7 linked regions of the Macaca fascicularis genome follow. The protein of the gene in region 1 interacts with the protein of each later gene in a biochemical or structural test. Links are inferred from orthologs where the notes say so. Each region holds a gene or a part of one and is shown in the gene's direction. Other genes may lie near its edges. The genes, in order: LRRK1, ODF2, CDC42EP3, GAK, CLVS1, POLR2M and PDCD4.

Region 1 (4,120 bases):
GAGGGCTGGTGGTGCTCTTGTAATTTCCCTGCTTTCCTTAAATTTAGGAACCCCCACCCTTGGATCCAAAGGGGAGCAGGGTTCTCTTCCCGTTATAAAGATGTCCTTGTCTCCCTGCCTCTGATGGCTGCTGTCATGTCTGAAGGGTCGGAAATCCCTTCTCACAAGTCCAACTCAGCACCCTCTGCAGAGGAGGTCCCAGAACACCATAGACACCCCTCAATGCAACGGTCCCTCGGGGTTTACAGAGAATGAGGAGCACAGGTGCTGCCTGGGCTGACATTCCTATAGCAGTCTGTTTTGCATTACTATAAAGGAATGACTGAGACTGAGTAATTTATGAAGAAAAGAGGTTTATTTGGCTCACAGTTCCACAGACTATACAAGCATGGCTTCAGCATCTGCTTGGCTTTTGGTTAGGCCTCAGGAAGTTTTTAGTCATGGCAGAAGAGAAGGAGAGCCAGCATGTTACATGGTGAGAGAGGGAGCAGGAGAGAGAGGAGGAAGAGCCAGGCTCCTTTTCACAATCAGCTCCTCTGTGAACTGACATAGGGTGAATGCATTCATTACTGCAGGAGGGCACCAAGCCATTCATGAGGGATCTACCTCCATGACCCAACCTACCATCAGGCCTCACCTCCAACACTGGGGATCACATTTCAACATAAGATTTGGAGGAGAAAAACATCCAAACCATCTCAAGGCTGCAGATTGGTGGCTGAGCAAGGGCTGTGGCATCCGGGGTCAGCACAGCTGGGAGCTCTGTCCTGTCCCTTGTTCAGTGAACAGAGACGATACTCAGCCGTGGGGTTCTCTGTTGCAGGCCAAGGCCCCAAATGCCGTGGTGCTGGTGGTCGGGACACACCTGGATTTAATTGAAGCCAAGTTCCGTGTGGAAAGGATTGCAACGCTGCGTGCCTATGTGCTGGCGCTCTGCCGCTCCCCCTCCGGCTCCAGGGCCACAGGCTTCCCAGACATCACCTTCAAACACTTACAGTGAGTGCCCAGCCTCTAGCAGCTCCCGCCTTCATGTGGGTGCCAGTCGCTGATCCTTCCTGGGATCTGCTTACAGAGAGCTCCTGAGGCTGGGTGGGGCTAGGCCCCTTCCCTGGCCAAGGGGGGGCAGTCCACAGAGCTGACCCAGCCTTGGAGAGGGTGAAGACCTACCAGACAGCTGGCTGGGTGAGGCCTGGAGATGCCCCCTCTTTGCTTCCTTTCTGCCCTGTCCCCGCCCCAAGGGCCAGTGCTGAAACTGCATGGTGCCCATTGAACCAGGTGACTGAACATGGGCACCACCCATCCAATTGCTGCCCATCTCATTTTTTGATCACTGATCAAGGACAGACCCTGGGGAGGGAGGACCTAGCCCTTGCCTTTGGTCTGAGTGGTCCTGATAGCAGCCTTTGAGTTAAAAAAGGCCAAGAGTTGGGAGGGGCTTTCGGGTGGGCATCACGACGTGTCCATGCAGATAAGTTCAATTGCCCTGGGCTGACCTCCTGTCACTGGTTGTGGGGATTGTTTGCCACCTTGTAGATGAAGAAGCTGAGGTTCAGCAAATTGTGTGCCCTAATGGGAGTAAAATATACTGCACATTGCATTAGCTGCCCTGGCAGCTCTCAGATTCCCTCGCCCGGGGTGGAGCGTCATGGGTATTGGTGCGTGGGTCAGCCTGGGACACATTGGCCTGGCTCGGAATACGGGATGAGGCTGTCAGGAATTATTGCTTTGACCTTGAGAAAGTCCCATAGGGTCTGTGATAAGAGGAGCCCTGGCTCTGGGTCAGAACCTGAGACCAGCCTGCGTGAGCCTGTGCCTGCCCAGCTTGTGCCCTTGGGGGTCTCAATGTACCTCTGCACCTCACTTTCCTTCTCTGTGAAGTGCCATGTTTGGTCTAGGAAGACAGACTAAAGCGACAGTGTGGGGCACCCAGCACAGTGATTTGCACAAAGCAAGGCCTCAGTAAACTTCTTGTGTTGTCTTTCATGAGTTCTCCAGACTTGCCAGCATTCAGGACAAACCTCTTGGGAAAACAGAGAAGCTGCAGCACTTCCTCGGAGTGGGGCACGATGAGTAAAGACGGGTCTTTTTGCACACAGTGAGATTTCCTGCAAGAGCCTGGAAGGCCAGGAAGGGCTGCGGCAGCTGATCTTCCACGTCACGTGCAGCATGAAGGACGTGGGCAGCACCATCGGCTGCCAGCGACTGGCAGGGAGGCTGGTGGGTACCTCGCTCGTCCAGCTTAAACCAGTAGGCCTGCTTCCCATTGTTGGGGATCCTCACTTCCCCTCTCTCCTGTGAAGCCCATGTCCATGTGGCAAGGCTCAGTCGTTCTTGGTGAGGGAGGGTCAGGATGGAAGATAGTGGGTGGAAATGTCCCACCCACTCAGGCCACAGGGGCCAGGCAGGATCTGCCCCAGCTGGCGGGCATGCCTCGGGAATTGCCTCGTCCGTCTGTCCCCCAGATCCCCAGGAGCTACCTGAGTCTGCAGGAGGCCGTGCTGGCAGAGCAGCAGCGCCGCAGCCTGGACGACGACGTGCAGTACCTGACGGACAGGCAGCTGGAGCAGCTGGTGGAGCAGACGCCCGACAATGACATCAAAGACTACGAGGACCTGCAGTCGGGTGGGTGGGGCTGGGGTGGGCGGCAGGGTGCCCGTGAGAAATGGAACTGTCTGTACTTCAGCCTGGCCCTCAGCAATGAATGAGAGACCGATAATCAGCCTGTGTTTCTGTCTTCCATCCCCCTCCCCTTCCTTCTTCCCTCTCACCCTTCTTTCCTTGGAGGTAGAGAACACAAACAGCTACTCTACACCAGCATTGTGTTGGCCACAAGGGCAGACATATAAACTGATGGACTGGTCCATGCCCTCCAGGGCTGACGTTCAGTCAGGGAGACAGAGGTCAAACAGTTACAATCGATTCTCATTAGCCACAGGACTTATGTTCTGTAAAGTCACCATGATCACTGAAATAGCAAATACTAAACCAGTGCTCCTAGGAGAGACGCAGGGTTCAGCTCCTGCAAGCCTCTGGTCAGAACATTCTCATCAGCCCATCAATACAGAACCTTGTTTTATGTGTGTTGCTGCTTAAAGACACTGTACTTAATATATAGTGTTGATTTGTTGGCATTGAACTCATGGTTAACAGTACTGTTGCTCATTCCTGAACAAAACTTATCTAACACACAGGTTTTCTCCATAAGGCACATCGCAGCCTTCTCACGCTTAGGGAACTACACAGCGCTTCAGCACTTCACTTGGGACCATTTTAAACAGTGAAAGCATCAACAAAAAGCACAAAAATTCAAAAAACATGGCACTGACATAGACCACTAAGCAGGCCCCTGTTTTCAGCACGAGAGTTGAGAGTGTTGCCCTGTTCAGCCTCCGCTGGGAATGTGCACATTGGTCAATGCAAACTTTTCACCACTCAGCACATGTCTGCAAATAACCACAGGAGCATTGATTTGGGGGTCGCAGATAAATTTTAGTAAGAAGGCAAATTTGCAAAGGCGGAATCCACAAATAATGAGGATCAACTGTAGTTACCGAGGTGGCCATTAGCCTAGGACTTTGGCAAGAGTTACCAGGGGCCACCAGGGCACCTGTGATCAGGCTGCCAACCCACCTGAAGGGTCCAGCATGTGGGGCATGTTGGTTTCTTCCTAGGAAGAATTTGTGACCTGGGTCCCCTTGGAAAGTAAGGCCACCCCAGAGTCCCTTTCGCTCCTTTGTCTAACTGCTGCTTCCTCCTCTCCTTGCCTGGGGCAGCCATCAGCTTCCTCATAGAAACTGGCACCCTGCTACACTTCCCAGACACCAGCCACGGCCTGAGGAACCTCTACTTCCTCGACCCTATTTGGCTGTCCGAATGTCTGCAGAGGATCTTTAACATTAAGGGCTCCCGGTCAGTGGCCAAGAATGGGGTGATCAGAGCAGAAGACCTCAGGATGCTACTGGTGGGGACTGGCTTCACACAGCAGACGGAAGAGCAGTACTTCCAGTTCCTGGCCAAGTTTGAGATCGCCCTGCCCGTCGCCAATGACAGGTGAGGATACAACTTACCATGCCAGGCTGTGCAGGTTGCTCCCCGAAAGAGGGATTTGGGGTCTGGAGCC
Region 2 (4,815 bases), on another chromosome or scaffold:
GGATTTCTCTCATCACTGGCCCTGTAACACTTCAACGGACTGCAGTAATGATGCTTCATAGAAGATGCTGTGTTCTCTTGTACCTGCATGTGGTAACTGCGTACCTACTGCTCTCTGCTTAGAATTCCCTTTGCTGCTTGTTTGGCGAACTTCCACTCATCTTTCATGGCTCAGTTCCAATACCATCACCTCTGGGAACCATCTCCTGCCTGCCCCAGGAGGACTGGGACCTCCTTTTCCTGTCCTCTTTTCCTTGAACCTGTATTTCTTTTTTTGAGACAGAGTCTCGCTCTGTCACCCAGGCTGAAGTGCAGTGGTGATTTTGGCTCACTGCAACCTCTGCCTTCCAGGTTCAAGCAGTTCTCCCTGCCTCCACCTCCCTAGTAGCTGGGATTACAGGCACACACCACCACGCCCGGTTAATTTTTGTATTTTTAGTAGAGACGGGGTTTCACTATGTTGGGCAGTCTGGTCTTGAACTTCTGACCTTAGGTGATCCGCTTGCCTCAGCCTCCCAAAGTGCTGGGATTACAGGCGTGAGCCACCGCAGAGTCTTAAAAGGTTGGGTTACAATGAGGATTAGGAAATCTGTCAATTATTCGACAGAGAGACAATGAATGGACCAAAGAATAGGGGAGCTCCCTGACATTACAGAACAAATTCAGTATGCAGTATACTGTGAAAGTGAGGCAGAAAAGCAGGTTTTGTTTGCGAGTTTGACTTTAGGATTGCAGGTGAAAAACTTGTGTGACCCTGGAGGTGTGTGGCTAAGGTGCTGCGGGGTCACCGGAGAAAGGTCAAGGGACTGTGGCCCAGTTGGCTCGGAGGTTGTTCAGGTCTCCCAGATTCCAGGGCGGCATTATGAGCCACGTGACAGACCTCCCCTGACTGGCTGACAGCGAAGCATAATTGAGAAGATGGCGGACCAGCAAGGACCTCATCAGAATAGGTCTGTACACAGAGCGGCATGGAGAGTGCAGGAGGGTAGTAGGCCGGGCGGGCGCGGTGGCTCACGCCTGTAATCCTAGCACTTTGGAAAGCCGAGGCGGGCGGATCATGAGGTCAGGAGATCGAGACCATCCCGCCTAACATGGTGAAACCCCGTCTCTACTAAAAATACAAAAAAAAAAAAAACAAAACAAAACCCGGGCGTGGCGGGCGCCTGTAGTCCCAGGTACTCGGGAGGCTGAGGCAGGAGAGTGGCGTGAACCTGGGAGGCGGAGGTTGCAGTGAGCCGAGATCGCGCCACTGCACCCCAGCCTGGGCGACAGAGAGACTCCGTCTCAAAAAAAAAAAAAAAAAAAAAACAGAGTGCAGGAGGGTAGTGAAGCGCAAGGGGAATGCCGACCCTTTTTCCTGTTGGGCCCAAGACAGAGGCGATGTGGGCAGGGGAGAGAGGCCGGGGAATGCGCAGAAGCCGATTCCATCTCTGCACTAACAGTGGATTAGGGGCAGGGCTGGATTTTCGGAGGCAGTGTGCAGCTCCCAATAACGTGTTCCGTGGGTCCCCTGTGAGCCTAGTTTCCTGGTGGGTACCAAGGGGAGCGCGTCGGAACCGTACGCTCCTTTGAGTGAGGGGAATCTGGGAGGACCCAAGACAGGGGAAACAGGGCCGAGCGGGAAAGCCCTTGAATTGGGGGCGAGACCAGGCCAGGCCTGCTGGACGGGTCGCACGTCTCCTTGGTGACGGGACGCTTGGCCCGGAAGTGGGCGGTGCTTCTGGCGGGGCGGGGCATCTCTGTGACGCTAGGGGCTGGGCCTCGATGGCGAAGCCCAAGCAGCTCCCGGGGGGGTTTGAACTGGCCAATGGGCGAGCTGCCGACCGGGTGTCGGAAAAGGAGGCGGAAGCCGGGAGGAGCCGCCGCCAGAGCCAGACTGCATCCGCCGCGGCGTCTCCATGGCACGACCCTGGCCTCCGACTTCAACGACTTCATAAGGCGGCGTTTCTGGGCTCAGCCGTGTCGCTCCTGGTGAGAGGCCGCCGGCAGGCGGGATCCAGCGCGCTCCGGGGCACCGCGGGCGAGACCGTCGCCTTCGTACCCCCGGCGCTGTCGGCCCCGCGGGGCCGTCGGGTCCTGCGTTCCCCGCCGCGTCGCGCTCGTCCCCCTCCTGTCAGAACCTGGGCCCCCGCCACGCCCACCGGCACGGGACCTCTCCTCCTCCCGCTAACGGGCGGCCGGCCGCCTCCTTCCTCTCCTGGCTACCGCGGGGCTCTGCCCTTCTTCTGCCGCCCGCGGGCAGGGCTTCACCTTTCTCTCTATGGGCAGAAACCGGTATCCTCCTGCCTGCTGGTGGGTGGCCGTCCCTTCTCTCCGCCGACAGAGGCTGTCCCTCGCTCTGCTGCCCGCCGGCGGCCTCGCCCCGACTGCCTCGTCCTCTCCGCGGGCCTCCACACGGCAGTCACTTGCCGGCCCTCCGTAGGCAGCGCTGTCCCCCGGGCACCGTCTCCGGGTCGCCAGGGCCCTCGCCCGCGGGGGTCCCGCCCGCCCCCTCCCAGCCCGATGTCTAACCTGCTTAGAACTCGGTTGTTCGGTTTTCCCTCGCGGCGGGGCGCCCGGGCTCCGCGCCTCCCTCTTTCAAACACTATTGGTCCTCTCGGGCACCTGTTCTTCCGGGAACGCCCCTTCTCCTAGGAGACAGTTGTCCGACCCCGCCCCAGCATCCCCGCTGCTCCCTGCGCGGTTCCGGCCCTCTGGGGCCCACTTGGGGCCGAGCGGTTCTCACTTGCCCTCTCCGCACGTCCGCCGGCGCCTCAGGTTTCCCCCGGTAGCCACCGGCCGTCCTCCGCGTGGGGCCCGGGCGCGGTGGTACTTTTCCCTCGCCGTTCTGCCCCGTCCCCTCCCCTTCCTCCCCTCTGCCCCCAGGTCGCTCAGCCTCTCCTATCTCCCCCTACTTTGGCAGGACAGTTGCTGTGCGACTTGGACAGTAGAGGAGCGCCTCCCAAGTTTTCATCCAACTGCCAACCCCAAAGCTTCCACCCTTCTCCCCTCAGAGAGGACGTTTGATGCCGGGCCCCTTGAGAGGCTCATTGAAAAGCCCGCCCCTCTGGGTCCCCCTGAGCAGAGCCTGCTGACCCAATTGCCCACCTTTGCGGCTTTGATGCCTAGCCATGTCTGCCTCATCCTCAGGCGGCTCCCCCAGGTACTGCCGATGTGGGAGGCGCCTGCGCCCGAGGGCAGGGAAAGGTGGCCAGGGGTCCCCAGGGCAGGCTCGCCTGAGGCTTCCAGCTTCCTCATTGTGTTTGCTGAAAGTCTGGACCAAAACATTTAAAAATCATTTTTAAAGGGAAGGGGGAACGAAATGTATACACAATCTCAGCTCTACCTCCCTGGCTCCTTCCCTCCCCAAATGTCACAGCTTCCTGGAAGCAAACAGGGTCACTCTTGTTGTCTTCATAGAGTACTAGGTTCAGAGCCTTTTTGAAGGGAGTTGAGGTGTAAATAACATGTCGGAGGTGGATGTGGCAGTTAGCAAGATGATGGAATCCAGGTGGTTTGACAGGAAACCCACTGAGAGATTTCCCAAAACTGTTGGCTTTATGTGAACAATGTTCTGAATGATTAGGGAAAAAAGCCTGTCTTCTCAGTTTTGGTATTCCTTGGCTAAAGGATCAGTAGAGCGCTCTCTCTGTCTCTCTCTCTCTCTATATATATATACATATTCCCTCTTTTTTTTTTTTTTTTTTGAGACAAGAGTCTCGCTCTGTCGCCCAGGCTGGAGTGCAGTGGCTGGATCTCAGTTCACTGCAAGCTCCGCCTCCCAGGTTTATGCCATTCTCCTGCCTCAGCCTCCCGAGTAGCTGAGACTACAGGCGCCTGCCACCTCGCCCGGCTAGTTTTTTTGTATTTTTTAGTAGAGACGGGGTTTCACCGTGTTAGCTAGGATGGTCTCGATCTCCTGACCTGGAGATCCGCCCGTCTCGGCCTCCCAAAGTACTGGGATTACAGGCTTGAGCCACCACGCCTGGCCATTGCCTCTTTTTAAAATCAGGATGTAATACACATACAGCAAAACGCATACTACAGTGCTCAAGTATTTTTTCCTTGCATTTTGATATTGCATTATTTTCCTCAAGTACTTGTAGAGAGGGCAGGATGATAATTTGGGACCGCCCCGTCTCTGCCCCACCCTCCCCGCCACCCCCTGGTTGCTCAGCCTCTCTGATCTCTCCCCACTTTGGGGGCCAGGTGCGGTGGCTCATGCCTGTGCAATCGTAGCACTTTGAGAGGCCGAGGTGGGCGAATCACCTGAAGTCAGGAGTTCAAGACCTGACCAACATGGTGAAACCCCGTCTCTACTAGAAATACAAAAAATTTGCTGGGCATGGTGGCACACGCCTGTAATCCCAGCTACTTAGGAGGCTGGGGCAGGAGAACTGGAGAATTGCTTGAACCTGGGAGGCGGAGCTTGCAGTGAGCAAAGATTGGGCCACCGCACTCCATCCTGGGCGATAGAGTGAGACTCCATCTCAAAACAAAAACAAAAACAAAAAGGGCAGTGAGATGGATCAGATGGTAATTCCAAGTCCTGGAGTTCTTGGATGTACTGCTGAAAGATTTTTGGAGCAAATTAAACTTTTAAACTTTTGCTCTCTCTGTTTTTTTTTTTTTTTTTTCTGTCTTTGCAGATCTGTTGATGGGGCTGTACAGTATATGTGTAAGCAATGTGAATTACACATGGCATTAAAAAAAAAATCCCCTGCTGCTTAGGAGCTTAAAGGATAGGAAGTGGAATATTTTGGGAAACAGATGCTTTTTTATTCTCTTAGGGGACTATTTGAGCCTTAATTTGATGAGTGTGCGTTACAGTGACTTC
Region 3 (4,242 bases), on another chromosome or scaffold:
GAGCTCCTGAGGGAAGAGGTCATGGTAGAGTCATCTGGGGAGTTCCTGCAGTGGGGAAGGGTTTAGCTTCTCTATGTCAGCATCAGAGGTGGAGGATCATTTTCTAAAGATAAGAGCATCTCATCGGCAAAAGAGGACATTACATCCCCAATGCCTTCTTATAGCTCATGCCCTCCTAATCTCACCATATAGTATGTGCAGGGAGGATGTGTTAGCTTTCTACACTGGTAACAAATGACCACAAACTTGAGGGCTTACAACATTTACCATCTCACAGGTTCTGTGGGTCAGGAATCTGGGTGGGGCTGAGTTCCAGCATCTCACTGAGTTGTGATTCAGTGTGAGCCAGGGTGATGGTCTCATCAGAGGCTCAACTGGGGAAAAGATCCACTTCCAAGCTCCCCAACTTTGTTGGCAGATTTCATTTCCATAGGCCCTCACACAGTATAACTGCTCACCTCCCCACAGCCAGCAAGTCTTCTCCCTTGTCAGCTCAGATGGAATCTCCTATAATGTAACCTAATCAGGGAGTGACCTGTCACCTTTGCCATATTCCCTTGGTTAGAAGCCAGTCATAGGTTCTACTTACAAAGTCATTAACACCAGGAGGCAGATCATGGGGGCTCCCCTCGAATTCTGCCTACTGCAGGGAGGATATAGCCTTATCAGTAATGTTTCAGAGGTGTTCCCAAGTGAACGCCCAGCCTATAATAGAAAATCACAATGTTGTCTCTTTGAGGTGCAGCGGTTTTGTTCATCTCCTCCCACCTCAGAATGCCTTCAAATCCTGACGTCCTCGACAGCCCAATACTTTGCCACAACCCAATTCCAACTCTAGCTGTCTTGTTTATTGGCTATATGTTATTGAGAAAAGGTAACTTTCTGGGGGAAGGGCTTATCCTGAATCTCCATTTTCTTATCTGTAAGAATGTATTCCACTAATATTTTATAGGACAGTAGCATATAAGTTATTGTCACTTATTAAATAATTCCAGTACCTTCCCTTGTAGGACTATTCATTTTATTGCATTAACTTATGTACGTATGGAACTCAGTGAAATATCATTAGTCTTGCTAGTATGCACATCAAAGCAAAAGGAAAATGTATTTTAAAACAAGTCCAGTTGTATTTAAGGAGCTGAAATCACTGATCCTATGCTTACAGCAATTCTTAGAATAGAGGAAAATGACTACAACTGTAGACATGTCCAGAAGATGTGTTCATGGCTATGTCTAAAAAGTACTGGTGTCATAGATTTGGGGTTTTTAGGTCTTTCTCTTTCCTGTTTTGTTTTCTCTTTAAGATTAAGGTGAAAATTTTTATCCACTTACTGGAGGGAAACAATAAGTTCGCATTAGTTGGAACTGGCCCTGCCATTATATACAGGCTCTTGTGAAAAGGGAGGCCCTAGGGCACCCAAATGAGTCTTTAGATTATAACCTGCTTTGGTTTCTTCTCCAGGTTTCTCCTGGTTGTGGTCAAGACTGGATGATGTAACTGGCTCTCTAGCAAGCCTCACTTGGCCGTAACCTCAGGAAGGTTCTCTGACCCCATCTCATTTCAAAGCCACTTCTGAAGCCACTTGAAAAAATGATGTGACAGTTCCTATCAAAAAGGATTATTCAGAAACATATACCATCTGTGAAGAAAGTGGCCCTTTTTTCCACTTGCAAAATAGACATTCTCAAATTCCAAAATGCCAGCCAAGACCCCAATTTACCTGAAAGCAGCCAATAACAAGAAAGGAAAGAAATTTAAACTGAGGGACATTCTGTCTCCCGACATGATCAGTCCCCCGCTTGGAGACTTTCGCCACACCATCCACATCGGCAAAGAGGGCCAGCACGATGTCTTTGGAGATATTTCCTTTCTTCAAGGGAACTACGAGCTTTTACCTGGAAACCAGGAGAAAGCACACCTGGGCCAGTTCCCTGGGCATAACGAGTTCTTCCGGGCCAACAGCACCTCGGACTCTGTGTTCACAGAAACACCCTCCCCGGTGCTCAAAAATGCCATCTCCCTCCCGACCATTGGAGGGTCCCAAGCTCTCATGCTGCCCTTATTGTCACCGGTGACATTTAATTCCAAACAGGAGTCCTTTGGGCCAGCAAAGCTGCCCAGGCTTAGCTGCGAGCCTGTCATGGAGGAAAAAGCTCAGGAGAAAAGCAGTCTGTTGGAGAATGGGACAGACCACCAGGGAGACACCTCGTGGGGCTCCAGCGGTTCTGCATCTCAGTCCAGCCAGGGCAGGGACAGCCACTCCTCCAGCCTGTCCGAACAGTACCCCGACTGGCCAGCTGAGGACATGTTTGACCATCCCGCCCCATGCGAGCTCATCAAGGGAAAGACTAAGTCAGAGGAGTCCCTCTCTGACCTTACAGGTTCCCTCCTCTCCCTGCAGCTTGATCTTGGGCCCTCACTTTTGGATGAGGTGCTGAATGTCATGGATAAAAATAAGTAACAGGATGCCAACTTTTTTCCTTTGGGGTAAAAGGTACAAAAACTAAACTAACCACAGTTGAAGAGAAGGGCTTCCGGAGCTGTATTTGCAATTTTGTGATGGGTTTTCTAAAATAATATTCTTACAAAGTATTTTTTTACCTGGTATGCCCTCCTTGCAAAAACAATTTAGGAAAAAACAACACAGCAAAACCTATCTTGGCAAAAAGAGGAAGTGAGTCAGAGCCCATTTTTCAGCAGGCATTGGTGATGTTCGGCTCACACATTGTTTGCAGACACACAAGAAATCTGGCTTGGCCAGGATTGGCACTAGCTATGAAGGTCTGAGCGAGTCACACTGAGGAACTTTATGGAACTTTACAGCACTCCGACATTTTCTGAGCAAGAGGAAGTCAAAATTTATTTAACACCTAAGCCTTTTTGTAGACTCTTTTCTATACTGCTTGGGCTCACCATAGCGAATTCTCCAGTGTTAAAACTTTTCTGTTTTCACATTTGAACTTATGGGTTTTGGGGATTTTCTTGTAGTTCTTATATATCCCTCTATATCTATATTGCAAACTTTTGACTGTCAGCTACATGTTGGTAAGACACAGGCAAAGTATTACTGTAACTAAGTTATTTTTAAAGTTAAAATATATTTTTACGTGCCTTTGGCTTTTTATTGCAGAGTCTACATTTTATAGATCCTACATCAGATGTCACTTGACTTGTTTCCATTGGGATTCCACTGTAAGCTGTGTATGTGTGTGTTTGGAAAAGTATATTCATACTTAGTTTTTTTTCTTCATCTGTTATCATACCTTTAACAGCAACCAATAACGAATTGTAAAGTATAAAGGCACAGGTTACTCATGATGCTTCTGCAGAGACTGTGGTCTACCCCACATGATGTTTTTGGAAATATAGGTATTTTAGTACCGTACATACTTGCATTACATAGGTACTTCAAACAACACAATAAAGAGTAAATGATAAAGTGAACTTGCTTGTTTATAGTAATAAACAAGACCATAAAAGAATAAGTCTAGCTAGAGAAGTTGCTTCTCTGAAATGTACATGAGCCTTTAAGGTAAGAGATGCTTTCCATCTGCTCTAATTTTGATTACTTCCTTATGGTTTGAGAGGCTAGAAACTGAGCCTCTCTACTTTAGGAAAGATGAACATGTGAGGTCAGATTTTTTTTTTTTTTTAAAGTCAACACTGATGCCACCCTCTCAGTCCTCATTTCTGAGCATCTTCCTGACTTGAACCCTTCTACAGCAAACTCTTGCAAGTCCAGTTTCATCCCTGTAAGGCAAATGTCTGTTCATGCAGAAAGTGCCATATAGACAAGATTAAGGCAGCTAAAGCGAGGGCAGTAGAGAGCACTTACCCCATCCCAAGGTGCCAGAGATGCCCTGAGGATGGTGGTTAAGGAAACAGGAGCAGGAAATGTATACACAGATTCCTGTCTCTTTGCCAACCACTCCTTCCCCATCAAAGAAAAACACTTGCACACAATAACTACCAGCTCCTTCTCTCAAACTGGTATTTCTCCTTGAAATGTATCTCAGAAATGACCTCCTCTCCCAACCACTTCAACGATTCTTTCTTTGGGTTTGGGGTTCTTGCAATTCTATCATCTAAAATAACCTTTGGACTGCAGGTGAAATGCAATTAGGACAACTAATCAAGTAGACGAAACAAGTTCCCCTAGGCAGGAGTGTCCAATATTTTATTGGACCACATTGGAAGAATTTTCTTGGGCTAAATGTAAAATACACTAACACTAACCATAG
Region 4 (4,120 bases), on another chromosome or scaffold:
CTGTCTCGTCCACACCTCCACCACCTGCAGGCTGTCATTTCCATCCTCTTCTGATGTAGGGGTCAGCTCCATGGCCCACATACACCCGGGAACCTGCCCACATGCCTGTGCACATGCACGTTCCTCGTGGGATGCAGCCTCCACAGTGAGAGCCCCATGGCTTCTCCAGGCCTCGGGCTCTGGCTTCAGCCCTGTGACTTAACTGTGGAGTGTTTCTTGTCATAATCAAGTTTTCTTCTTTTTAATTCCAGTTACGCAAAGGGTGACCTGGACATATCTTACATCACGTCCAGAATTGCAGGTACGTGTGCACGTGAGGCTGTGGGATGCGCCCTGTGTGCCCAGTGAGTCCCTGCTGTGTGTCAGGGCACAGGTGCCTCTGCTCCAGCCTCCTCTGCAGCCACAGACTCACAGGGACGGCCTGTGCCCAGCGCCTCCAGGCGCAGCAGTGGACAGGGTCAGCCCCAGCCTGGTGCCTCCTATGGCTCCCTGAGGTCATGCTAGGAACAACACAAGGCTGTGCACCAGGCATCCCAGTCACTCATCCCGGTGCCTGGAGATCGGGCATGTGTCAGAAAGCTGTCTCAGGAAGTCCCAGCCACTGGCTGGCGGGCGTGTGGCTGGGTCCGCGCTGCTGGGTCCACCCAGGCCGGGAGTCTGCGGAGGGTGAGGGGGCCAGCTTTGTGGGCAGTGGCTGGTGGAGCTGCTGGAGGCTGTGCTTGCCCGGGAGCGTGAGGAGCAGCAAGGCCTCAGCGGCAGCGTGGCCACAAGGTACACGTCTCCCGGGGACGGCGGCTGACGCAGGCCTGCTTGTTTCAGTAATGTCGTTCCCGGCAGAAGGTGTGGAGTCAGCGCTCAAAAACAACATCGAAGACGTGCGGTTGTTCCTGGACTCCAAGCACCCGGGGCACTATGCTGTCTACAACCTGTCCCCCAGGACCTACCGGCCTTCCAGGTTCCACAACCGGGTGTGTGGCCACAGGCTTTGTCTTGGTGCCACTGTGGCAGCTTCCTCCTGCTCCAGTGCAGGGGTGTAGCTGAGGGCTTTGGCCAGGGTGCGGCTGTGATGGGGGCAGCCGGAGGTCCCCTGAGGGGCTACAGAGTGTGGAGCAGGAGGAAGCGAGGTGGGGTCTCTGTTGCTCTGAGGACGCCGCTTGACGGGAACCCTGGAGGCCCCAGCTCTTCACTGCTTCCTGCCTGCCAGAGGGTGCTCGAGGCCGCAACATTCCTTCCAGACATGACCCCTGTCAGTATGCAGGGGGACCCAAAGCCAGGAACAGCTGACCGAGCTCTGTCTGCAAGGCCAGTGGCAGCCCTGGTGCTCAGATGCTGCAGAGGCTCTCGGTCTGCAAGGCCAGTGGCAGCCCTGGTGCTCAGGTGCCGCAGAGGCGCTCGTGCAGATGGACGCCTGTTTATGACGCCAGCTGGCAGAGGCCCCTGCGCTGCAGGCAGGCTGTCCCTCTGATCTGACCAAGGCTGGGGCGGGGCTCTTCTGCCGTCCGTGCCACCGTGCCCTGTCCCCACAGGTCTCCGAGTGTGGCTGGGCAGCGCGGCGGGCCCCGCACCTGCACACCCTGTACAACATCTGCAGGAACATGCATGCCTGGCTGCGGCAGGACCACAAGAACGTCTGTGTCGTGCACTGCATGGTGAGCTCCAGGGCCATGCCCTGGCGCCGTCTTTTATCAAAGTTCATTATTTCATGCATAGTTCAACGGCATCCGAGCGCCAGTCGTGAGCTGGGGCCTGTTCTTCACCCTGGGACACGGAAGAAAGTCCCTGTGCTTAATGTCTTCGGGTGTGGAGGGGACAGATGCCAGATGGCCCTGCCCTGCCCTCCCCTCCCCATGTGGCCCTGCCTGGCTTTGACCTGCACGCCTGTGTGGAGGCCACTCTGCTGTGTGAGGAGCCCATCTCCCCTCCTGCACAGTGGCCACCTAAGAGTCACCTCCAGTTTCCCCATCTGCAGTGCGAAGCTTAGTGGTGGTTGAGCCTCCCAGGCTGTGGCAGCTGCCACTGTGGTTGATGGAGTTGAGGTTTCCATGAGGGGTCTCTCGCGGGGGTACCGGGCACCAGCAGAGCCTGTCAGAGCGGCCCTAGCCCTGCTCTTCGTTAGGGAACCTTCGGTCTCTGTTGGGCTCCGTTCTCGCCTCGGCAGGCGTGTTATGTGGTTTCGTAAACATGTCCCAGCCTCAGAGAGAACAACCCTGCGTCCCCGTGGCCATGGGGCGGGTAGGATGGCCGAGGACCCCGCCAGCCCTTGTCCTGCGTGAGTGCGAGGCACGTGCGAGACGTGTCTGTCTGTCCTAGGACGGGAGAGCCGCGTCTGCTGTGGCTGTCTGCTCCTTCCTGTGCTTCTGCCGTCTCTTCAGCACCGCGGAGGCCGCCGTGTACATGTTCAGCATGAAGCGCTGCCCGCCAGGCATCTGGCCGTCCCACAAAAGGTACCGCGTGGCCCCCCGGGGACGGGACGGCTCCGGGCCCGTGTGGCACAGCCGCCATCGCTGCGGTGTCTCCTGGAGGGCCAGTCGGTGCCACTGCAGGCGCTGGTGGGAAAGGCAGGCCCAGCCTCGCTGAGCCACAGCTGAGCCCTGGGTTTATGCCCACCCAGGGAGGGTGGGCCCTCAGCCGCGGTGGTCCTGACGGCTGTGGGGCAGCACCTGCCTAGTTTCTGGGTGGACGCGAGGTTCTCTGGCAAATGCCACATGTAGCCCGTGCTCGCTGGGCTGGGCTGGGCAGGGGCGGCTCCTCTTGGGACCCCGCTCTGTCCCTCCTGCAGGAGTCCTCTGTGGTGGGCTCTGGTGGATAATGCATGTGAAAATGCCGTGTGGACCACCTGAGACAGGTGCTGTGTGCAGCACCTGACGCTGCTCAGACCCGAGTGAGGCTGCAGCATGTTTAGGGCCCTGCCAAGTGCAGGCTTCCGTGCCGGTCACCTCAGCACGCAGCAGACTCTCCCTGGCCGCGTGGAGGAGACTTTCTCAAACGGGAGTGCGGCCACAGCGTGTTTAGGGCTCTGTTTTTCGAGGCTGCAGGTGTCTATGCCGAGGAGTCCTTCCCAGCATAAAGCCTCCCCTGGCCTTGGTCTCACTGAGGACCTGGTGAGGCTGGAGCAGCCTCCCAGCCTCTGAAAGAGCAGGCCTTGACCTGGACCACAGACGGCCCAGGAGCAAAGGCCGGCCCCGTGGCCCCACCATGGCGGGAGGGAAGAGGAGGGACCCAAGCTTCGAGGGACTCCCCATTCTTCATCCCGTCTGGACGGAGCGCACAGCCTGTGGACAGGGCGAGTGTCGGGAGGCCGATCCTGCTGCTGTGGATCCCTAGGGAGGGCCCCACCTTGTTTGCTCACAGCCTTATGGGGAGGAGATTGTGGCCGCCCCATCCAGCTGTTTCTGTGACCCCAGCAAAGTCGGGAACCCCTCCACACATTGAGCTGAAAGCCATTGGCACCCCCAGGCCAGGTGCGGTGGGGCCTGCTCAGCAGGGGGCATCTGAGAACCAGGGAGTCTCTTTCCCTGTGAAGTGTGGTTGGGCTTCCATGACCCCACCAAATCCCACAGCTCCTTCCTTGGAGGAGCAGAGAAATGTGCAGAGTGCCGCTCCCACCGGGCAGGTGGCTGGACCAGCGTCAAGTTCATGGCCTTTCCACATCTCTGGCCCAGAATCTAAGGAGAGTCAGGTGCCTGTGGGAGGAGGTGTGTGTGTGCACTGTCTGGGTGGACATAACTAGACCCCAGAAGAGAAGGAGGCCAGAAGGAGTATAACCGGTGGAGGCCAAGTGTCTCAGTGGGCGAGTGAAGCCTCCAGGGTTGCAGGACTGGAAGGGTCCTTGCCCTCTGGAAGGCACAGTCTCCATGGGCACCCACAGGACAGATGGGAGAGTGAGGGCTGGGCAAGGGGACACAGCTACTATGAGGGAGGCTCAGACCTGGCCGAGACCCTTTTTTCTGCCTCCAGATGGAGGAGATGAAAGAGCTGCACCCTGTGACTCTTAGGGAAATTGAAGTAACTGATGTGCTGAGGACGCTCATGCAGGGTGCGTGGTCCAGTGGATCACTTTCAGAGCCGTGGAAAGAGGACGCTCATGCAGGGTGTGTGGTCCAGTGGATCACTCGTCACA
Region 5 (4,664 bases), on another chromosome or scaffold:
GATGTGGATTCTCTCATTCTGAGAATGTATAAACTAAGAACTGTGTTGTTCCAGGCATACTTGTAAGTGCTTGGGAAGCGGTAGTGAACAAATTATCTGCCACATGGTACTTACATTCCATCAGAGAGAATGACTAAACAAATAAGTAAATATGTAATACTATGTCAGAGTTGGAAGAATTCTGATGACCTTGAAGTCTTTGAAATATATGACAGAAAGATTGCTTTAAAATATTTTATAAGTTTTCTAACTTTTTAGTAAATGTGAAAACTTTAAACAAATACAAGTAAGAAAATCAAGTTATCTTGGCAAAAAGAAAATTTACCCATGATGATATAACTGATTTGAAAACTGGGGAAAAATGGGAATGCTGTATTTGATATCTTGCTTTCCTTCACTTAACACTTTGCAAGTATTATTTTTGGTCTTAAGCAGTTTTCAAAAATATGTTTTAATAGCTCTAAACATTACAGTTTGTATGAAAAATTAATGCTTTTTTATTTTTTGACATTTATGATCATAAATGAAATTTATACACATAAATCTTTGCATATCTGAATATATCCCTAGCATAAAGTACTAGAAATGAAACTACTGGATCTAAATGCCATGTATATTTATGACACTGGATGTACATTGTGAAATAGATTTGTAAAAATGTTATGCCATCTCACTATTATTCCAACAATATAAGATATGCGTATTTAAAACTTCAGCCCAAACTGCCATATTAAACTGCATATTTCCATTTACTGGTGAGGTTGATATTTAAAAAATGTGTTTATTATGCATCCCCATTTCTTCTGTAAATTCTTTGTCATTTAACATTCATCCTTTTTTTCTAAAAGGCTGTTAGTGTTTCTCTTTTATGTGGTACTTTGTGTATGAAACATCTACTTGCTGCAGTTTTTTAAAGTGTTAATTTGTATTTACTTTTTTAATATTTTGACATTCAAGAGTGTTTTTATGCACTCAAACTTACTGATCTTTTTCTTTTTTATTTCTTCTATTCCTCTTGTGCTTAGAAAACCTTCCCTATCCTGAGATCGGTAAAATATTTCTGTTCTTCTAGTTATATTTTTAAGTTTTATGTTTTTGATAAAAACATCTATGTGTAATTTATTTTGGTGAAATGAGACTTTGATTTGAGTCTCTTCAAATAGTTCATTTTCTTAATACCATTTGTTAGTAAAATAATTCATCCTTTTTCCCCATAGGTTTGTGATACTTTCTTATCTGTCAGATTTACACACACACACACACACACACACACACACACACATCTGCTTTTGTGCTTTCATTAATCCGTTTGAAATATTCTATTTTTAACTTTGTGTGGGGAGTGATGGCGCCGGTACTTTTTGTCCCAGGTGTTAACAAAATTACAAAAAATTATTGGTACTTCTCAACGGAACCAGGGAGGGTTGTGGTACGGAGGCATTTAGGACCCAGGGGAAAGCTAGGCTCGCTATAGAAGGACAGAGAATCGGGCGCACACGCCTCCTACCAAAAATCACAGCCCCGTGTGGAGCTCGAGCTCTCATTCACAGCTTTCTAGAGAAATCTGAGCCCGAACCTGCCAGAATAGGGGATCTCACCCACCCAATTCAGCAGCGAGGACACCTGCAGAAATACATTCCCAAAGCAAGGCTGGGCGGCCGTGTGAAGGTATTTGTTGCCTTTTTTCTCCCCTCTGTATTTGCAGAGCCTCCCCGCCTTTCCCCCGCTCTTGCGATGCCATGGCTGCGGCGTTTCAGCACTTCGGTATGTGGACAGCTCCCATCTGCAATCCCTCTGCACTCCATCCCTCGCGCACCGCACCCCGCTCCCCGCCGCCTCCGCGGTCCATCCTGCTCCCGGCGCCCGCTCAGCCTGCGCCCCCTTACACATCAGCACCCCCATCTCCACCATCACCGTCATCATAGCCACCATCACCAGCGCCGTAACTATAGTCACACAAGTGTGTCTTGCCACTTAGACAAAGCCCGAGGTCCTCAGGGTAGAGGGAAAGAGCTCAAGTTGACAGGCATAGGAAGGAAAGTTCAGGTGAACAAACCCCTGAAAACAAAGAGAGACGCCTGTTTGGAAGAAAGGGAAAGTGAAGGCAGGAGGGAGAGACCCCAGGCACGGGGACAGATGGGGCACTTGCCAGACACCAGCAGTTAGCCAGCTGCCTTTCAGCAGATTAGGGTCTGTTTAGTTGAGGAAATTAACATGGCCTAGGGCATAATGTGATTCCAGAAAAATAGAAATGTAAGCTCAACCTGTTTCTGCTTTTCCAATGGAGAATCACCAGGAAGCAGGGTGGGGGTGACTGATGACTCATATTCACCCACACGTCCGTTTCCTTTCCTAAGTGTTTAAACGCAGAAACTCTAGAATTAAGTTTTTTCTTCTGTTTTTACTAAAATGTTTTGCAAAATCGGGACCCCAGAGATTAATTCAGGGCAGAATAAAAATAAAAATGATGGTAATGATTGTAACTTAAGAAAGGGGGCTCTCATTCGAATGAACTATTTGTTCCAATGTTTCTTCCTGTCTACTTATTTCATTTCTATTTCAAATCTTAAACCTCTCTTTGGAGCAAAGAAAATAGATCCCTTGCCCAAATGGCCAAAGTAGTAATGATATTCAGACCAGATGGCCTTGCTTTGTTCATCATCAGTCAAGGACTGGCTCAGATTTGGAAGGCTAGATTTTTGTGTGCTTTCTCAGTAATCAGGTGATAACACCATTTTCCTATAATAGTAAAGGGTAATAGAGTGCAAAAATTGAAAAGGCATTTTATGTAACTCCGTTCTGCCAGGCTCTGCTTTTAGAGTGCTATCATTTTCTATCTCGGCTGAAGGGAAGTTGGAACATCTTTCAAATGTCTGATTAATTTGAACCTGAAAGTCTAAGCCCAAGTCATAGTCCTTATTTGATCTAGCCAGGATCATCTGTTTTATAAGAGCTAAAAAGCACCAGAAAATAAGTGCCTGAGCCTGTCATAAATAAAAATATTTTGCTGGGTGCTCATTTAATTGACTTTTACTGAACAGTAAAGCATTGGAATTTTTTGACAAGTGTTTTTAATGAAATTAACATCTTAATTAAAAATGAGATCATTTAAATGGGAATAATAGGTCACATGTGACAAGAAAGTTTAAAACAGAGCACAGAAAAGCTTGATTTTAAAATTGCCCTTGTGTATTTATTCTGTCTCTTAAAGACAGTGAAGGAAGTTTCATCTAAACCAGCTTGCTCACCATTAGAGGCATTGTTGAGAATAAAGACAGTCACAAATACGTATCTTCCTGAAGAAGTTCTGAGGAAAATTCATACTTAATTCACTTTTAGAATGAGAAATAGTAGCATTGCATCAAAAGTTAATTACTGCCACTAATTATATAGATATGATTCCACCTGCCTCTAAATTCATTCACTTTTGGATCCCAAGCAAGAAAACTTGCAAAATATGTGGTGAAATGGATTTTATAGAAGAAGAAAATTTGATCATCCACATAATGTCCTTGGTTTGGTAATATCCACAGTAACCATAATCTCTTAAAAGTCCCTGAGAAAGGAGATTCTTAAAATTCTCTTTTCTGTCTGCAAAGAATGGTTCAGCTCAGACAATTTTTAAAAGTGTACATATTGCCAATTCTAGCTGCTTCACACAAGAAATGCAGGCCAGGAATCCAGTGCCTCTAGAGCTTCTGTCTTCCTGTGTTTAATACAATCTCCTGGGGCTGGGGAAATTTTAAAACAATGCTGCTTCAGTGAGATTTACAGGCATCTGTCTGTAAGCAATGACTTTTCTTGACTGAAATGTTATGCTGAGGTTATTGATTTTTATAGAATGACAGTATCCTGGCTTTCTTACTTAAATCTTTTCTATTGAGAGCTATTTCGCCTTTAAAAATATTTTCAATAACAGAAATTACTCATTTTTATAATGGATTTAAAGGTGAAGAGAAAATGTTTTCCAGCAGTGTCATCATATATTTTTGTAGACATGCTCATAGAAGAGTGTCTCATTTAGAATCATGGAGTAGACAGCTGGAAGGTCTTTCATTTCCCAAAAGGCAAAATCTCGAACTTTTCAGAACTGGTGGTGTCTGCTCACTTCCGAAGGTTTTACAAAGAGAGGCACTTTATTATCCCTTAGAAGTGTTTTCACAACTTTACATACTCCCTGATAGCAGAGCCTTCCATCCTTAGTAAATGGATCCAGGCTGACTTTGATCTTCTCTAGTGTCCCTGTTACACAGTGACTCAGACAGAGGAGGCAGCACAGCAGAATGAGTATACAAAATATGAAGCTTGACTATATCCAATCAGTCCAGAAATATGTCCTCAACATTGCCAAGAGAGACCTTCTTTTCAATCTTCTCCCAAATATTGCTTGTTTTGACTGTTGTTAATTTTATCCAGATATCACCAGAATAAAGTTGTTTCAAAAGAAGGTCCACAGTCTGAATTTTGACAAGTCTGCAACCTGTAACTGATGTATGTCTCTTTATTGAAACTCATGTTTAATTACCAATCTAAGTTTCTCTTAGTTTAAGGGAAGTTTATACTCTTTTGCTTGATTATGGATTGAAAATGAACTGGCTAAACATCCCCTGCCTCATAAAAAGCTTTCATTTGTTGAGATAATAAGTTCATTTTTCTTCCCTATC
Region 6 (3,743 bases), about 52 Mb from region 1:
AAGTTCCATGGGCTTTGTATGAGAACTACTTGTAGTTAGGAAAGAACATATTGTGGAAACACTGAGACCAGCCTGGCTGGAGTGGAAGGTTCATGCTGAAAAATATTTAGTTTTGAAACTAAGTAATTGACAGGGTCTTAAATAGCACTTGGGGGAATATTAAATTTCAGGACGCTTAGCCAATATTTCATAATAAACACAGAGTTGGAGAGAATTTATTATGACGTCTTTTTTTCAGAACTATTTTTTAGTGTACAGCTCTGATTAGTGTACTATCAAAGTGTACTCTCTTTGATTAGTCTGCGAACTAAGGGTAAAGCAATTGCAGGAGCTGATCGGCTTTCCAGCAAAAATTATTTGTATGCTCACTGAATGTAAGCAAGCAGCAGGTGTTGTGGGGACACAGTGAAGTCAAGATTCTTAAACTTCTTTGCCTTTTTGATGTTATACCTCAAGTTTAAAAACATGGCTGTAATGTATACATGTATAATGTAATACAACACCATGTTCTTCAAGGAGTTTCAGAGCTAGATGAGGACACAAGGTTTACACCCTTGGAAAAGAGTTAAGCTACATAATAACAGTTTCAGGGGGAAGGAAGCTGAGGAGAGTTTGAAAAACTGAAAATAGATTCAGGCAGGATAGGCAAAAACTCTCCTTATCAGTTCCTTGCCATAAATTTGTTTCTGAAATTTCAGGAAAAGTAAAGTCTTTTTGAAAATAATTGCTATTTACTTGCAGCAAATGTAACATTCAACTCAAAAGGTACCTTCCTATACTGTATTTACAAGTATGTAACATCAAATACAAAGTTAAATTACTACTACCTTTCTTTGAAAAACAGAAAATCTCTAGTGAAAAGTGCCTAACACATGCTTCTTTTTTGTTAGACTTTAACTCTACCCCAGCATTCATTTTAACCGCAAAACATTTTATTTCTGCCGTATAGAAAATCAGGATTATACTGCATTAATGTGATCAAGTCATCTCTTGTGTACAGTGAGGTGTCTTTCTTCACTTCCAGGATGACATTTTAGGAAACTAGAACCATCATCTAGTCAATAAATACAACAAAGAATACATTAATCCCAGTTCTGTATTACGGTCATTTAGCTGGGAGTGGGAGAGAGGTAAGGGAATAGTGATGAGGGCTACCAAGAATTCAGGAAGTTGAAGAGACAGGGAGCCTTCTGTATAGTTAGAGGAGAACAGGAAAGACAGGGCTTTGAGGAGTCCTTATGCCATAGACAAGGATTTAGAGGGTTCCATGTGAGAAGTGGCTTGGAGGTTGGAAGGTGGGGTCATTTAGTGTCCTTGGGTCCTTTCTGCTCTTCCTTCTGCATACTCTTCTGGTTTCATGTATCACCTGGATGCTGGAGGCTGACCCCTGTCCACCTCTATCCCAGATCTTCCCAGAACTTTAGGTTTGCATAGCCAATTAACCATGAAACTTGACCACTTGGGTGTTCCTAGGCACCTCAGCTTAATCATGTACAAAGTGGAACTTCTGTTTCTTTCCAAGGTAATTTCCATATTTCTTAATAGGACCACTACGTTCTTTGTTTTCTTCCCCTAAGGTATCTTCCATTTTTCTCATCTCCGTATCTGCTAGCCATGAAGACCTACTTATTTCTTTGATCTTCATCTCTATAATTGTTCTTCATCTTCTGTCGAAGTGAAGACTCTCATCTCTCTCGGGCTATAATTGTGGCCTCTTCTACCTCTAGTCTTAACTACCAGTCAGTCTCCACTGCTGCCAGAGTGAAATTTGTAAGGTGGAAATCTGAATTTGTTACGGAGAACTCTTCATTGCAGTCTGGGCCCAGCCTACTTCCCAGCCTTCTTTCTGGCTGTCTTTTCTGTGTAGCCAGAAAAGCTGAGTCTCTCTACCTTCTGTACTTTCTCTCACTCCCCTTGCTGGGATGCACTTCTTTCCTTATTTAAATGGTAAGCAGTTATTCCAAGACTCTTCAAAGCTTTTTAGAAGCTTTTCTTACAGCCTCCCTGTCTCCCACTAGAACTGGCCATTTCCTAATGTTCCAGTGTATCTTGTTGAGATATCTGCCATAGTACCTCTGGTATTATATTGCACTGAAACTTTACATGTTTCTTTCTTTCTACTGGGCAATAAGCCCTTTTGCAAATGTTCTTTGAATGATACATGAAAAAAAAAAAAGCTCCAGATGAAATACAAGGTTTGAATAAGGAAGGAAAAGGCAAGAGCCTGTGTGCACACAAACACACCCCTGTTTGTTAGAGCAATAAATACTGGTAAACTGCTTACTGTTACCTTTGGAGGAGAGTTAATTGCTGAGGTAAAGGTCATTTGTGTGAATGTTTTAAATGTGTCTACAAATAAAATAGTCTGATTATATAGCACAAGTTTTCCTTTCATCAGGTTACCTTTTCGACAAAATGATTCGTCTAGTCATTGTCAGAAAAGCGGGTCTCCTATTTCCTCAGAAGAGCGGCGGCGCAGGGATAAGCAGCATCTTGATGACATCACAGCAGCTCGGCTTCTACCGCTTCACCATATGCCTACGCAGCTGCTCTCCATAGAAGAATCTTTGGCACTTCAGAAACAACAGAAACAGAATTATGAGGTATTTAGAGTATTATTTTTTTTTCTTGTCTGTTTGTTTGGTGCCTCTTACATAAGCCAGAATTTACTCCAGGTTCAAGGAGGAAGGAATGGAATAGAGGGGATTAGGTGCTTCCATGAGCTCAGACCTATGCCACTAGTTTTCAGAGACCTATGCCATTAGTTTTCAGAGTCATAAAGTTGCTAGAACTGCAGGAAATGGCTAGAGATGATCACAGCTACCTTCAACATGAAAGTGGTGATTTGCCAGGAAATGTGGGGAGACTTGTAGAATTTCATGTCTTGAAGCTCATGTACCTGCCTGTTCCTGTTAGGATAGTAGTAGCATCGCATCTCTCCCTTTCACCTTGTAAAACCCATGTGACAGCTTCTGAGTGGTGGACTGTAACCCAGACCCCTTGTTAGAGAATGAGGAAAATGTAGTTCCCAGGCTTCCATCTCCTGCAGTACAGGGGAGGGCATAGAAGGAGTGGGAGGATAATGTTGTATAGCCAGCAGACAGTGAGACACTGTTTCAGAGCATAATCCGCAGGCCTATGTGAAGAGAAAAAATCTGCTTTTGGCAACTTAATCAATTTTGCATAGCACTTTGTTTCCATGTGTTTTGCATTGAACTTTAAACTTGTATGTTGAGAGTTTGTATACAGAGTAATGGGATGGGAGAAAATAAGTGTGAAGCACCACAGGGGAATAGAAAAGTTTAGAAGTATTTAGTAACAATTTTAGCCTCCAGGAGAACAGTATCCTGTCTCACTTCCTAGGTGTTGCTTAGCTAGATTTTAGTCAGGTACTAGTGTACCAGCCAGTATCACACCAGGCTGTTCAGGAGTTCGAGACCAGCCTGGGAAACATAGCTAGACTCCATCTTTACCAAAAAATTAGCCGGGCATTGTGGCATGCAACTGTGGTCCCAGCTACCCGTGAGACTGAGGTGGGAGGATTGCTTGAGCCCAGGAGGTCGAGGCTGCAGTGAGCTGCAGTCGCACCACTGCACTCTGTATAGTCTGGGTGACAGAGTGAGACCCTGTCTCAAAAAAAACCCAGCAAAACAGGCTGTTAATCTGCCTTGGCTTTTCATAAAAGCCTTGGCATGGATTGGCATTTTCAAGGTGCTCTTTTTCAAAAAACCCATATTTCTTTC
Region 7 (4,698 bases), on another chromosome or scaffold:
GAACCAGGGGCAGGAAGATCATATCAAATCACGAGGCTCCAGAAAAACTACCAGCGTCCAGGAACGGTGGCTCACGCTTGTAATCTCAAAGCTTTGGGAGGCTCAGGTGGGCTGATTGCTTGAGCCCAGGAGTTCAAGACCAGCCTGGACGACATGATGAAACCCCGTGCATACAGAAAATACAAAAATTAGCTAGGCATAGTGAGGGGCACCTGTAGTCCCAGTTACTCAGGAGGCTGAGGTGAGAGGATCGCTTGAACCAGGGAAGTTGAGGGAGGTCGAGACAGCAGTGAGCTGTGATCATGCCACTGCATTCTCCTGGGCTACAGGGCAAGCCCCTGCCTCAATTAAATAAAACAACAACAACAACAAAATAAAAAACTACTAGGGAGGGCCATGAGGCACAGAAGGATTGCACCAGGCAGAGATAGGAGATGAGAAGAGAGACATTTCAAGGTGATATATAAAGAATTACCAGGGGTTGAGGAGGCATATAGGGATATGTGTGGAGACACAGCTTGAAAGTCTTTAAGTCACATTGTGGAGCCTTGAACGACCGACCGTGGCGCTGACACTCAAGAGAGGCAGTGGGAAGCCAGTGAAGGTGTGTGTGTGTGTGTGTGTGTGTGTGTGTGTGTGTGCAGAGAAATAGCAGCATTAGAGATGATTCCCAGGCAGGGTGACTGGGCAGCCAAGGGAAGGCGCTGGCCTGCGCGGGATGAGGCAGTTGGGTTCTGGAGGGACCAAGCAATCATTCAGGTGCTGCCCATCAGACAACTGAAAAATCTTATGAGAGGTAGTGGCTAAGTCCCCTCCTGGGAGCACAGAGGAAGCATAAGGTTCTGGTTATCACCCTCAGGGGACCGTGACGTTGAAATAAGGACAGGACCAGGCAAAACGAATGCAGCCAAGAGGAAAAGTCAGAGAGAACAGCGAGGGGAGGTGGAAGTTTCAATAGAGAAATTGTAGCCATGGCTGAGATTCCCAGCACCGGAGTCCGGAATTAGTGCGTTCGAACGCCAGAGGCTTGGCAAGTCATGATTAGCAAAGGGACTTCAAAGAGTTTTGGGGCCTGTTTTATATCTGTGAAATGGGAATTATTTCTATCTCAAAGGTTTGAGGGGATTCGCTGAGAGAAACTTCTTAGCATGGGATCTGCAGAAACTAGAAGTCATGGAGAAAGCAGGGGTCAGAGGGAGGAGGAATCGGGCAGGCTGATCACTTGGAGTGTTCACCTAAGGAGTGTCTAGAAATGGAGGCAGCGACGTCAGGAAGCTCAAAACCTGTGCTTCAGCCCAGTTTGCAGAACGCCCTGTAAGGAGAATGGGTGAGCTGGGACTAGGCAGCTTCATCCTCGTTCCCATCCCCCAGCACTGCCCTTTTCCCGACGCTCCCATCTCGCCACGCTTCCCAACACACCCCCACCCCGGCTTCCCGCTCCGCTCCCGCTCCAGCCAGTCTCAGGAACCACAAGCGCATGCGCTCTCCGCGCCCCTCTCCAACTTTCCACGTTTCACTCCTCTCCCCTTTCCGCCTCAGCTCCGGCTCCACCGCCACGATTGGCCAGCCGACCACCCGGCCTTGGCCAATAAGCGCCGCCCTCTCGCCCCCGTGTTACTGGGTAGAAGAAAACAAAAACAAACAGAGCGAGAGGGGCCAGAGACTCTCCGAGGCGGCGGCAGAGCCAGAAGAGCGGGGTCGGGGCCGGCTGACCAGGGACCTGGGCGAGCAGCGGCAGGGGCCGGAGGGGTCAGTACCAGTAGGCGCGGCTCACACGCTCGGGAAGACTGCGCCCTCTCCCCCATCCCCCCTCGGAGGCAGCCGCACGATGGGAGGGGGCGGGGGCGTGGGGGCCGCGGCCCTGTCAGGTCCGGGCCAGCGGTGCGGGGCCCCGGCTGCCTCCTCGTAGCCCCACAGGTCCAGCCGCGCCCGCCCCAACGCCCCGGACTGCGGGCAGCCGGCCCGGTTCCCTCTTTCTGGGCCCAGCCTGGAGCGTGGTGGCGCGGGCCCGCCCCCTCCCGGAGCCCTCTTCCCACTGAGAGGGGCGCGCGGGACGCTTGCCCTCGAAGGTCTCCCTCAACCCACCTCCCCCTCTGGCGGAGGTTGAATTCAGGGGCCGGGATTGGAAGGCGTGTTTCCGGCTGGACTGAAATCCTGTGAGGAAGATTCGCGCCCTCCCCGCCCCCTGCTCTCCCTGGGAATTCTCTGAAGATGCGCCCCCCTGCTCGGCGTGACCCTGGAGCTCCGTTCCTGGCCCCGGCCCAGCCCCTTCCGGGGGCCGACCCGGGCTGGGGACTTCGGGGGTCCTGGCCTGAGCCCGCTGCGGGAGAAAGGGTCCGGCCGCTGTGGGGAGGGGCCGCGCGCTAGCCTCACTGGGGGGGCCCTAGGAGGCGAACACGTGCCGGCCGCCCGAGCCCCGCGCGAACTTCGCCGAGCCAGTCCTCCGGCAAAGGGTCTCTTTTTTTTTTAGTTCAGGTAAAATATAATCTCCCAGAGAAAACAAAGCTGGGAAGGGAGCCCCCTTTCTGTGAAACGCATGCCGTCTGCTGCATTTGTCAGTTTGATGCTGTAACGTACATGGAGTTTTGCAAGAGCTTCAAAACTGTCTGCAGACGTCAATGTCGCCCACCTACCCCTTTTGAGAACTCGCTACATAGCCAGCGACTGTGTAGTGTCTACAAATGATGAAAACGATCAGAAATGCGACTACATGTCTGGCAAAAAAGGGTTTCCCTTGTTTTTTAACTTGTATTTTTACTTTAATTTTTATGATTTTGATAACGTGACTTTTTTTGGGAAACCACCAAGTGCTTTTTAAGCAAGGAGTTACTGGCATTTATACCCTTAATATTCCTTCATTATAGGCTTATTGAATACCTTAATATTTCAGTAAGTGTCTTGGAATTATAATTGATTGGCTTTTTCTGTGGTACTAATGTGAAAGGAAAAATAATTGTTAGGACTGCAAAAATAAATGCCACTTGAATATTATCTGTAGTGCTCACTTTTGCATTACTGTAGTAGAATGCTTTTAGCTGGTTTTAAGCTGCTAATTAGCTGTTTGTAGCCGGAGAATGAATACAAGTAATCCTAGTTAATAAATGGCCAAAGCTTGACTCCCCAAAATGCCAGAGCAATTTATGAGGTATAGTTCAGGAAATACATATATATTTCGTGGGAGAGTGGAGGGTCTCTTAGGGAATGTTTTGGCAATTGAATACTTCTGATTGCTTGTTTCATGTAACACTGAAGAAAAGGACAGTGTTTAATGTCAGCCTTCATTTTCTTCTAACTTGTATGTATAGTTTTCTCATCGAAAATTCATTTTTGTAGGTTAGTATGAAGGAAATAGGGTTTGGATTTTTTGCTTTATATTTTCTTGTTTGGGCCAAGTAAGGGTGGTTAAATAAATTGGAAAAAATCCTACTACTTTAAAGAGAAGAAAAACGTAGAACGTGTCTTATGCTTATCTAAACTCTTAAAACGTGTTTGTTGCTCTCAAATATGACTTGAGTTCTTGATCAGGTTATCATTGCCTAACGACACAGGACTATTAAGATAACTTTGTTTTTATCTTAATAAAAGAGATGATAGTCATTTCCTGACAGTTTTCTTTGTTTGACGGAATGCCTTCTGTATAATAGTTTAAAATAATTATTTTTAGTGTTTGGAAAACAGCATTTAAAAGTTTGATTTAACAGCAGAAGTCTGTTTTAATAAGCTTCTGGTAACCCTTGAAAATAATCTTCCTGTGGGTTATTAAAATCTTGGATTGAACTTGTGCAAACAGTACTGGATTTGGAAGGTCTGAATTCTCGTCCTGGCTGTTTCACTAAGCAGCTGGCTGTCGTTGGACATATCACCTATCCTCTCTGAATCTGTTTAGTTGTGTGTAAGGTACTTACCTGAAGATTGTTCTGTAAGGTACATTAAATAATACATGTACAATTCTTTTTGAATTGTAAAGGGCTTTATAAACATTAGTTATAATCATTTCACTTATTGGGCTCTGCAGAAAATATTCTCTCAAAGGTTATGCTTTCATCAAGAATGAAAAAGACTTTGTAATGGAACTCTAAAAAACTGAAACACATATGACATTATTCCTTTTCTATATGTAATTCATGCATGGAATTAAAACAGAATGTGGCCTTTTCAGCCATGAAGGATGCTGAATGTTTAGATTTGCAAATCATTTTTGTTCATGTATTTATATGAATCTCTACATATATTTAAGATTTTTTTCATATCTAAAGTTGGCGGGAGTTGTATTAAAAAGTGATTTTAAAGATTCACATTATTTTATTCTAAATAGAATTAGAGAATGATTTCACCGTTTTGTTAAGTTCCCAAGCAATATGATAGCATGTTAGTCTGAGGATTATGCCATAGCAAGAAGCTTATAGGCCGGGTAGTGGCTCACGCCTGTAATCCCAGCACTTTGGGAGGCCGAGGCGGGCGGATCATGAGGTCAGGAGATCGAGACCATCCTGGCTAACACGGTGAAACCCCGTCTCTACTAAAAATACAAAAAATTAGTCGGGCGTGGTGGTTGGCACCTGTAGTGCCAGCCACTCAGGAGGCTGAGGCAGGAGAATGGTGTGAACCTGGGAGGCGGAGCTTGCAGTGAGCCAGAGATCACACCACTGCACTCTAGCCTGGGCAACAGAGCAAGACTCCATCTCAAAAAAAAAAAAA

What was found.
Region 2: the proteins of LRRK1 (region 1) and ODF2 form a complex in vitro, tested with the Homo sapiens proteins (2 studies listed by BioGRID and IntAct, with this or other methods). The link is inferred for Macaca fascicularis from reciprocal best matches to the Homo sapiens genes LRRK1 and ODF2.
Region 3: the proteins of LRRK1 (region 1) and CDC42EP3 form a complex in vitro, tested with the Homo sapiens proteins (2 studies listed by BioGRID and IntAct, with this or other methods). The link is inferred for Macaca fascicularis from reciprocal best matches to the Homo sapiens genes LRRK1 and CDC42EP3.
Region 4: the proteins of LRRK1 (region 1) and GAK form a complex in vitro, tested with the Homo sapiens proteins (2 studies listed by BioGRID and IntAct, with this or other methods). The link is inferred for Macaca fascicularis from reciprocal best matches to the Homo sapiens genes LRRK1 and GAK.
Region 5: the proteins of LRRK1 (region 1) and CLVS1 form a complex in vitro, tested with the Homo sapiens proteins (2 studies listed by BioGRID and IntAct, with this or other methods). The link is inferred for Macaca fascicularis from reciprocal best matches to the Homo sapiens genes LRRK1 and CLVS1.
Region 6: the proteins of LRRK1 (region 1) and POLR2M form a complex in vitro, tested with the Homo sapiens proteins (2 studies listed by BioGRID and IntAct, with this or other methods). The link is inferred for Macaca fascicularis from reciprocal best matches to the Homo sapiens genes LRRK1 and POLR2M.
Region 7: the proteins of LRRK1 (region 1) and PDCD4 form a complex in vitro, tested with the Homo sapiens proteins (2 studies listed by BioGRID and IntAct, with this or other methods). The link is inferred for Macaca fascicularis from reciprocal best matches to the Homo sapiens genes LRRK1 and PDCD4.

The regions. Positions count from the first base shown.
Region 1 is NC_088381.1:86,091,707-86,095,826, forward strand, and holds part of LRRK1 (leucine-rich repeat serine/threonine-protein kinase 1), read left to right. Parts: intron 1-823; coding exon 824-996; intron 997-2,096; coding exon 2,097-2,217; intron 2,218-2,462; coding exon 2,463-2,622; intron 2,623-3,773; coding exon 3,774-4,050; intron 4,051-4,120.
Region 2 is NC_088389.1:15,514,803-15,519,617, reverse strand, and holds the start of ODF2 (outer dense fiber protein 2), read left to right. Parts: upstream 1-1,796; 5' UTR 1,797-1,806; coding exon 1,807-1,970; intron 1,971-2,901; exon of another isoform or gene 2,902-3,109; coding exon of another isoform or gene 3,110-3,141; intron 3,142-4,815. UniProt on the Homo sapiens protein: Seems to be a major component of sperm tail outer dense fibers (ODF).
Region 3 is NC_088387.1:84,513,678-84,517,919, forward strand, and holds the end of CDC42EP3 (cdc42 effector protein 3), read left to right. Parts: intron 1-1,462; 5' UTR 1,463-1,697; coding exon 1,698-2,462; 3' UTR 2,463-3,445; downstream 3,446-4,242.
Region 4 is NC_088379.1:968,545-972,664, reverse strand, and holds part of GAK (cyclin-G-associated kinase), read left to right. Parts: intron 1-251; coding exon 252-301; intron 302-819; coding exon 820-968; intron 969-1,526; coding exon 1,527-1,649; intron 1,650-2,310; coding exon 2,311-2,444; intron 2,445-4,120. UniProt on the Homo sapiens protein: Associates with cyclin G and CDK5. Seems to act as an auxilin homolog that is involved in the uncoating of clathrin-coated vesicles by Hsc70 in non-neuronal cells. Expression oscillates slightly during the cell cycle, peaking at G1.
Region 5 is NC_088382.1:71,211,766-71,216,429, forward strand, and holds the start of CLVS1 (clavesin-1), read left to right. Parts: upstream 1-1,498; 5' UTR 1,499-1,668; intron 1,669-4,664.
Region 6 is NC_088381.1:34,170,041-34,173,783, forward strand, and holds part of POLR2M (protein GRINL1A), read left to right. Parts: intron 1-2,398; coding exon 2,399-2,603; intron 2,604-3,743.
Region 7 is NC_088383.1:119,957,718-119,962,415, forward strand, and holds the start of PDCD4 (programmed cell death protein 4), read left to right. Parts: upstream 1-1,658; 5' UTR 1,659-1,749; intron 1,750-4,698. UniProt on the Homo sapiens protein: Inhibits translation initiation and cap-dependent translation. May excert its function by hindering the interaction between EIF4A1 and EIF4G. Inhibits the helicase activity of EIF4A. Modulates the activation of JUN kinase.